2 linked regions of the Rattus norvegicus genome follow. The protein of the gene in region 1 purifies or fractionates together with the protein of each later gene. This does not show direct contact. Links are inferred from orthologs where the notes say so. Each region holds a gene or a part of one and is shown on either strand. Other genes may lie near its edges.

Region 1 (3,975 bases):
ACTGACTTTTCCGGATCCCACTCCCCTAGGGAACGTCCTGCTTGCCCATGTGGCTCACCTCATTCAGGCCACGCCAGTCAAGTCCTGGCTCGACTTGAGCTCTCTTTAACCCTCCATGGCCTCTCGTTGTTGACACGCCTTTCCTGATACTGTACTAGTTCTGCAATTCCATGTGATATATATTAGTTAGCCTCTCTCATTGCTATGACAGAATACCTGACAGACACAATTTAAAGAAGGAAGGATTCATTATGTCTCTTGATTTCAGGAAATGTCAGTCCATCGTGATGCGAAAGGCATAGCGTCGAAAGCTTGTGCCATGGTTGGCTCACATTTTGATGATAAGGAAGCAGAGTGGGACCAGATGCTAACCCAGGCCATAATTCTAAAGATCTCCTCTCAATGGCTTACGTCTTCCAGCTGGGCCCCATGCCTCAATGGTTCCGTAGACATCCCTCCTCCCCACCCCCCAAAACCCAGTGCCACTGTCTAAAGATCAAGTGTTCAAACACAGCCTTTGAGGAAATTTTGCATTTAAAACCAGAACACTTATGAATGAACTGTCTTGTTTCCGCTGGTTTGGATAATCAGTCGAATCTGGTGTTGTCTTGCATTCAAGCGAGTATATTCCTTTTTCCTGTGTGGGGATAAGAGGTTGTAAGACAAAGGAAAAGCATAAGAAAGCTGTGTACCCACCCATCCTGAGATCAGGGGTGCCCTGTGAACACGCAGAACAAAGTCAGATGTTGGCTGTGTGCCAGATGAGAGGACCTCAGAGAAAAGGGGCCTCTGGGGAAGCCTGGAGCCCCTGAGCATGAAATGTGTGGCCTCCGGTAAAACAGCCACTGGAGAAGAGATTTCAAAGGCCATTTGGTAGAACAGCGTGTTTCCGAATGTGCAGATTAAAGTGAGGAGAAGGGTAGACAGCTCTGCTTTGGTTCAAGGTCCTTCATGTTTGTCTCTGGGAGAGATGCTGGCAAGGCAATACATAGGCAGCGATATTGACAACATGGGAATTGGGTGACAGAACTAAGATTGGATGTGTTTCGTGCTCCATGAAATCATTAGTTCCTACTGGGTTACAGGACCCCAGGTGTCCAGGCTAGCCTAACCATTATGTCAGCACAAACTTCTGGAGCTTCTAATTGTAAGAGCCCAAGCCTATCCCTCTGTAAGTTCCCTTGTAACCTGTACACAAGCAAATGACTCCATTTTACCTGGAGATTCGTCCCTGCACCTGGCTCTGGGCGCCATCTCCTATCTCCTATGAGCGCCTATGAATTCTCTGTTCTGTAAGGGCAGACCTCTCCCTCGCCACTGTTGGAACAACCAGTTTCTAAACTGACACTTGGGAGGCAACAAAAGAGAGAGCATCATGTTACCTACTGAAACACTCGTGCCTGGCTTGCTGCCTACCCAGAGGACAGCTCCGTTTGCCAGGCCCTCCCCTCAGCCCGTCAGCCATAGTCTTGATGCCAATCAAGCGCATCCTTGTGCTCTACACATAGTGCATAGACATACAGTGTTAGCATTAAAAACCAGGAGGAATGGGTGTCGTTCCGAGGTATGGCACTTGCCTCGAGTCTGGTGGCCCTTGACTCCTTCCTTAGCAGCATACAGTACATAAAATAGTTCGTAAATATACACAGAGACAAACTGTAAATGAATGGATGACTCCTTGAGTGGGTATTAGAACCAGTGGCTCCTTACACAGAGAAGCAGGTCTCTTGGCTGACTCTTGGTTCCATTAGTCAATAGCAGAAGCAATGACTGGAATGAGGCCAGTCCTTTCCTCCAAAGATACTGAGGGCTGAGATGTGCATGGGACTCTGGAAAACACAGTTGTGTCAATAAAGGGAGTTAAGGCTGAGCTCTATTTATTTTAGGGTGGCTTTAATTCTGTTTAATCAGAATCACTCATAAATTATGGATTAATTACTATCCACCGCTCAGTTAAATCCTTTGCACGATGGATACCATCCACTGTAATTGTGGGGCACTTTGTCAACATTTAATCAGTGGTACTTATTAATGTGGCATTGATGTGTGGTGGCCATCCCTGCACCATCAATCACACATGAGCAGCCAGCACGATCTCCAACACCACCGCTCTGTGTCACATTAACTAGCCCCTGGGCTCTCGGGCTGAGCATTGGCGCTCACTTCTAATGAAATGGATAGTGTCTCTCCGTCCGGGGATCTTTTGTCCTTGTAGACTTAAAACACTACGGTTTTTAGAATGCAACTCCGAAAGGGCTTGGTGTACATAACCTGTTCTCAGCAGTCCCGAAGATCCTGTCTTCCCTCACCCTGCCCAGGAAGGGTAAAATACCAAGACCCTTGTCCACAATAGAACACTGCCATACAGGCTGTATACACATAAGTACACGTCTGTGCTTGCATGTGTAAAACTGTCAAGTCTTGGAGTGGATGGGGCAGAATCAATAGAACTCTTTTGGGCTTGTCAAACGTTTCTGAATATTTAGAGTTCGTCCTTAGGAAACTTAGACTAGTAAACAGAGCTCATGACTATCCCCCATCTCTCTCTCTCTCTCTCTCTCTCTTTTTAGCCTCTACGGCAGACACATGCAAGCCAACCCAGAACCCCCAAAGAAGAATAACGACAAATCCAAAAAGATCAGCCGGAAACCCCTTGCAGCCAAGAACAAATGAGGAGCACACACACACACACACACACACTGGTTTCTGGCCTCCTTGAAGCTTTAGCTCTTCTGGCCATCCTTGCTCTGTCCCACAAACAAACAACAGCGTGCTGGTGCCTACTTTTCTCTTCTTTTTCTTTTTCTTTCTTTCTTTCTTTTTTTTTTTTTTGAAAGAAAATTCTTTTCCCTTTCTCCTCCTGGTGCTTGAACGCAGCCTCCCTTTTGCACCTTTCTTGTGGAGGGGTGCACTTTTTATAAAGTCTTACATTCCTGCTCATTTGTTTCTTCTTTTTTTTTTTTTAAATTACCGAAGGCAGAAAACAAAGCTCTCATTCTCCTGCAAATTCCATGGGAGGCACTGGTTTCAGTTCCTTGAATAAACGTCACAAGACTGCTTATTATCAAAAGAATAATTAAAATCATGTAACCACTTAAATGTCACAGTTAACACTTTTCATTCTTTCTGTTTATTCGTATAACTCATTATTGTGCCTTATTAAAAATCTTCCCTCACCGCCAAGCTATTATGTTCATTTAACATCCAAATGATTTCAATAAAATCTTGAATTTATGTCACACTTCTCTTCTTGACTAAAATAAAAAAAAAATAACCTAGTCTTGGGGTGTGCCATGTGTTTTATTATTTCTCTCCCCCCTAATTTTTTTTTTACCTCCTCTAATGTTATTGATTGTAGATGACAATCTGTGGACCTTACCGTGAAACAAATACAAAATTAAATCAGAGTTCGTTTCCTCTCACATCAATTTGTCAGGTTTTTTTTTCCTTCTTCTTTTCCTTTGAAGACTGTTTCTAAATTAGGAAGGAAGAGAAAAACAAATCTCTAGGAGATCCTGCCAGAGGATTTTGGAAAGCAGCATCCTTGCACTAAACAAAACTGTGACTCGTGCCAGCGTCTGCTAGACAAGGGCTGAGAGAGAAGAGGGAGAAAAGCCCCAGTGTGTCGAGAGAGAACTCTGTTCACAGCAAAGCATTCTCCTAAGAGGCCAATGCCAAGGAACTTGTACAAACGCACACAATCTATACCACACCCGAGATGGAGACTACCCTGGCAGAGCCAGTCAACCACCAGTCACTAAGCATCCGCAGTGAGCAGCTCCTCCCCTCACCAGCAGCGGTGTGTGGAGATGAACATAAACCCAAGCACAAGTCTTGTGGGGGTACTTTGAGACCAATCAACAAAAACAGGTAAGGCGAAATACACTCTCAGTGGTCTGTGAGACAAGGACATGTTTCTCTCCTGTGCTGTCTTTACTGCCCATTGCTGTGCCTAAGCTGCGCTCTAAGTGAACC
Region 2 (4,349 bases), on another chromosome or scaffold:
TTTGTTTGTTTGTTTGTTTTGAAACAGGACGGACAGTGTCACACATGTCTGTCTATTAAAGATATTCCTAACTGCAGTAGAAGGAACAGCCTGTTAGGAAGAAGCTGCACACAGACAAGCAGAAATGGACCACAGAAATGAATAGTACATCCTAGGCTGACTGAAGGTCAGGAACAGCTTAAGGGGATATAGAATTCCTCACATCTGATGAGACTCAAAGGAAAAGGCCTGTTTTCCGTGAAGTTGATTTGGGGTTCAAGTCCTACTGCTGGTCCTCAGCCAGACCCTTACCTTGGAGGTTCTAGATTCCCTGAGCCTCCTTTGAATAGTGATTCTGATACTTTCCCTGTCACCTGCCTTGATTCTGTCTAATATACACTGCAACTAAAAACCCTTTCAAGGTTTCGGATTCAGCTATGTAGTAAATGCTTGTCTACCATGCTGAAGCCCTGGAATCGAACCTCAGTATATAAAGTAATGCCAGGTGAGAGAAAACTTGGAGAAACCACTCCACTGCTAAAACTCCACTGATTTCTACCCTTAGTGTACAGAAAACTTACTAACTTTTCAAGCTCTGCGCTCCAAGCTCCTAATCCCGCATTCCTATTAGGACACACTGTGATACGGTGAGTTACTGCCCGGGAGCTTCTCAACATTTTTCTAAATCTCAGGTACGCTCTTCTCCACACCAACTTCTCACCAATTATGTTTTAAGGTCAGTTTTTTGGAGAGTTTCCGGATCTTCAGATCATGACTAACTCTCTCACCATCCTGATAAACGACAGCATTTCAGGCTCTCCCTCTACCCAACACGACCCCGGGAGGATCGACTTTGCCTCCTTAAAACTCTTCAAATAGCCCGGTGCAGGGCCGCTCACCTTGACTGGCGGGGCAGTCGCCGCCTGAACCTGTGTTGTCACGGGCCGGAGGCCAACGATGGCTGGGGCCGCCTCGACCCATTCGGGCTCCTCAAACATACCGGTGGCCGGCAGGGTTGGAGGAGTCTACGCTCTGGCCCACGTGTAGCGCGCGTCCGAGAATCCTAGGACTGGAGCCAGACCAAACTCGGCCGGAAGCCACCGAGAGAAATTCTGTGGTGGCTAGAGCGGCCCGCGCGGAGCAGAGCACCATCGAGTGTAACCGCTCCTGAGCTAGAGAGGCAGTAGGAGGTCGGAAGGGAGGGACCGCGGCCCGCGCTGGCTGGAGAGGGCCGGGCCGGGCCGGGCCGGGGCGGGGCCGGGCGGCGGGCGCGGCCGGACGGGAGTTCCCCGGAGAAGCCGCCTGCGACCCGAGTCCCGGTGAGTGCGGGTAGTTCCGCGCCCTGTTCCATGCTGGTCTTGCAAACCTGTCTCTGCGATCTCTACAGTAGCTCTGAGCCGGGGCCGCCGGGCAAGGACCCCTTTCCCCTCCCCCGGGTGTTTGCAGCTTTGGGCCCCTCCCCTCCCCCCAAGCCGTGTTCTAGGGCCGTGACTCGGAGCCCGCTGACGCCAACTCAGGAAACTAGCAAAGTCTACCCTATACCTCCAGATCCCCCTGCTCCTCGAGCCCAGGGGTCGTCCGCTGCCCGAAGCCCTTCACAGACAACCACTGTCCCTTTCGCGACGCTCCCCATCCCAGCACTGACACCTCTGTCCTGAGGGAACAGAGATAGAGTCATTCTCTTGTCTCTGTTCTCCCGCAGTTCCCCGAGACTTCCCCAGTCCCGGGGTCTCTGTGCCGGGACGCTGCTATGGACGACATTTTCACTCAGTGCCGGGAGGGCAACGCGGTGGCGGTGCGCTTGTGGCTGGACAACACAGAGAACGACCTAAATCAGGGGTGAGCTGAAGCATTGGCGAGTGAGAGGACTGCTAGAAGTCCGCTCTCCGCTACTTGGGGTGCTCATGTCGGGCGGAGACAGCTAACTTTGTTATCCAGTGTGATGAGGAGTATTAGAAAGCAAAGTCTGTTGATGGAGGAGGGTTTACAGAGAGGAAGCTGTGTCTGGGTTTTTTGTTTTTACTAAGTTTCACAATCGGTTCCCGAGGACTTTGCAGCCTCTGTGAACTCATGTCAAAGGCAGACCAGAGTGCCAGAAAATTGGAATTACATGTGGTTGGAGGATGAGTTTCTGCGCCCTAGAGCATTGGATAGAAGTGGAAAAGGACATTAGAGATCTAAAGTTCTGAAGCTGTGTAGTGATGAGACTACCCATTTGTCAGGTGTCACCGTGGATGCAATTGCCTTAAAGTGATGTTTTGGATACAAGAATTGAGACAGGGTTAGTGGTGAGAGCCCTAAAGTCATAAGAATGAAGTAGTTGAGTTGGTATGGGAAGTGAAGGAGGAAGTCAAAGATGACCTGGGGTTTAGGTTTGGGAACTTGGACACTTGGCAGTTGCCGATGCTCCATTTTGGACTGACTACAGTTTGGTGACACTACAATAACTTGGAAATGCTTGACAGGTTGTTGTTCGTGCAGATTTTAAGTTCGAGAGAGGTCTGATTGGGATACCAAGATACCATAAATTAGCGTTTAAATGATACCTGAAGATTCTATAAGGTGAAAAATAGTACCTCAGAAGAGGAGTAAAATAAAGGCAGAGGTCGAGAAGGCTGGCTGACTGACAGGGAACAACCATCTGAAGGAGAAATAAGAAATGGACTAAGATTAGAGAATGGATGTTTTAATGGAAGAAGAGTGGTTAATTATAGGCCACTGAGAAGTTAAAGAACATAAGTGAGCATTTTAAGTCTTCATTTAGTTTCCATTTAGGATGTATTTGGTCTTTGAATGGTATTGCAGAAAGTAACAGGAAACTGCATTACACTGGGTTCCTTCAAATAAGAACTCCTTGAGGGATTGGGAATGTAGCTCAGTGGTAGAGCATTTACATAGCAAGTGCAAGGCCTTGGGTTTGGTCCTCAGCTCCGGGGGCGGGGGGGGGGGGGGGAATCCTTGCATAAGACCTCATCTATTCCCTATAGATGGCAGGCTTCTGTCAGGGAAAAAAGTGAATGGAAAGTGAGGAAACAGATAATGTGAACACTTTCTACAATGCTGGCTGATATAAGAAAGCAAGAAATGCAGTGTTGGAAGAGTTTAGTAGGTAGTTTTGGTTTGCTTTTGGAGACAGCCTGTCATGTAGTTCAGAATGGCCTCCAGCTCTCCTTCCTCCTGCGTCAGTCAGCCTTCTGAGTGCTGGGATTTCCATTTGTTGCAACTGTATTTGACTATAAGAGGATTGTTTTAGGTTGGAAAGGATCATCTGTCATCCTAGGCCAGGTTTCACCAGCTTCCATTAGGGTGAATACTGTTTCTCTGTTATATTCAAAGTTACTTGTTTCATTTTTTTTTACATTAACTTGTGCGCTCTGTAAACACTAAGCTGTCTGTCCTATTTTGTTGGTAAGAAAATAGAAGTTTAGGCTGTTGTCCAGTGGGAGTGGCATCTGGAAGAATCCTTGTTGTCAAAAGGTGAAGGGTATCATTAGGGAAACCAGAAAGCTTTGGTGGCTTGAAGGGAAAGGGCAGTGCTGGAGGTGGTTAACTCCCTGCAGGCATTCTTCAGATAGAAATCCAGGCCCTCAGGTGACAGTGGGCAAAACATTTGCATTTGTTCTCAAGCTTAAGCTTCCTCTGAGGCCACAGACTTCTGGAAGTTGTTTGGTCAGAATACATGAAGTCTGGGAGAGAAGACTGATAGGATAGCAATGGATATACTCACATCCTCAGAAAGCTTTTGCCGAGTTTGTATTAACTGATGAGGGCAGACTAGAGGGACAATTTTTTTTTTTTTTTTTTGGATCTTTTTTTCGGAGCTGGGCAATTATTTAAAGCTACATATCTCCTTCAACTGTTGGGGGATTCTGGGTGACCAAGCCAGGATCAACTCAAGGCCCCTCCTCCAGCCCCCTCACAGGAAGTGACCACAGCACTAAAGCATCTGGAGGCTGCAGGCCTAGACCACAGACCGCCCCCTGTTCCGCCCCTCAGATCTGCATCCCAGGGCTGGAGGGAATTTCCTTTTATGGCTCCAGGCTGTCAGTTTGACCCAGCCCATACAGTTGTTTTGTTTGTACACTTCTCTTTATAAAATATATGTCCTTAGGGGATGAAAATAAAACTCAGATATATTTTTTATTCAAAAGCTTCAATTTATATTTTCCTCTGTGAATTTTGGTTGGTAAGTAGGAACATCCGGGTTTGTGTGGTTATCTGCCTCTTCAGTAATCAAAAGCATGTTTGTTGTTGTACCCCTTCAAAATATTTTAATTCCATTCCATTTTTAGATGTCAGCTTCAATAACAGAGCCAAAAGTAAGCCTGTTTCCTCTCCTAAGTTGTATAGCCTGTCTTCTCCAGTATGCC

Evidence for each region.
Region 2: the proteins of Rsu1 (region 1) and Ilk purify together in Homo sapiens (affinity purification with mass spectrometry; 9 studies listed by BioGRID and IntAct, counting the BioPlex papers as one, with this or other methods). This does not show direct contact. The link is inferred for Rattus norvegicus from reciprocal best matches to the Homo sapiens genes RSU1 and ILK.

Annotation. Positions count from the first base shown.
Region 1 is NC_086035.1:81,097,172-81,101,146, reverse strand, and holds the end of Rsu1 (ras suppressor protein 1), read left to right. Parts: exon of another isoform or gene 1-2,570; coding exon 2,571-2,673; 3' UTR 2,674-3,280; downstream 3,281-3,975. UniProt on the Homo sapiens protein: Potentially plays a role in the Ras signal transduction pathway. Capable of suppressing v-Ras transformation in vitro.
Region 2 is NC_086019.1:169,499,438-169,503,786, forward strand, and holds the start of Ilk (integrin-linked protein kinase), read left to right. Parts: upstream 1-1,283; 5' UTR 1,284-1,298; exon of another isoform or gene 1,299-1,389; intron 1,390-1,681; 5' UTR 1,682-1,729; coding exon 1,730-1,818; intron 1,819-4,349. Other genes in the region: Rrp8 (ribosomal RNA-processing protein 8), read right to left, coding at 879-977. UniProt on the Homo sapiens protein: Scaffold protein which mediates protein-protein interactions during a range of cellular events including focal adhesion assembly, cell adhesion and cell migration.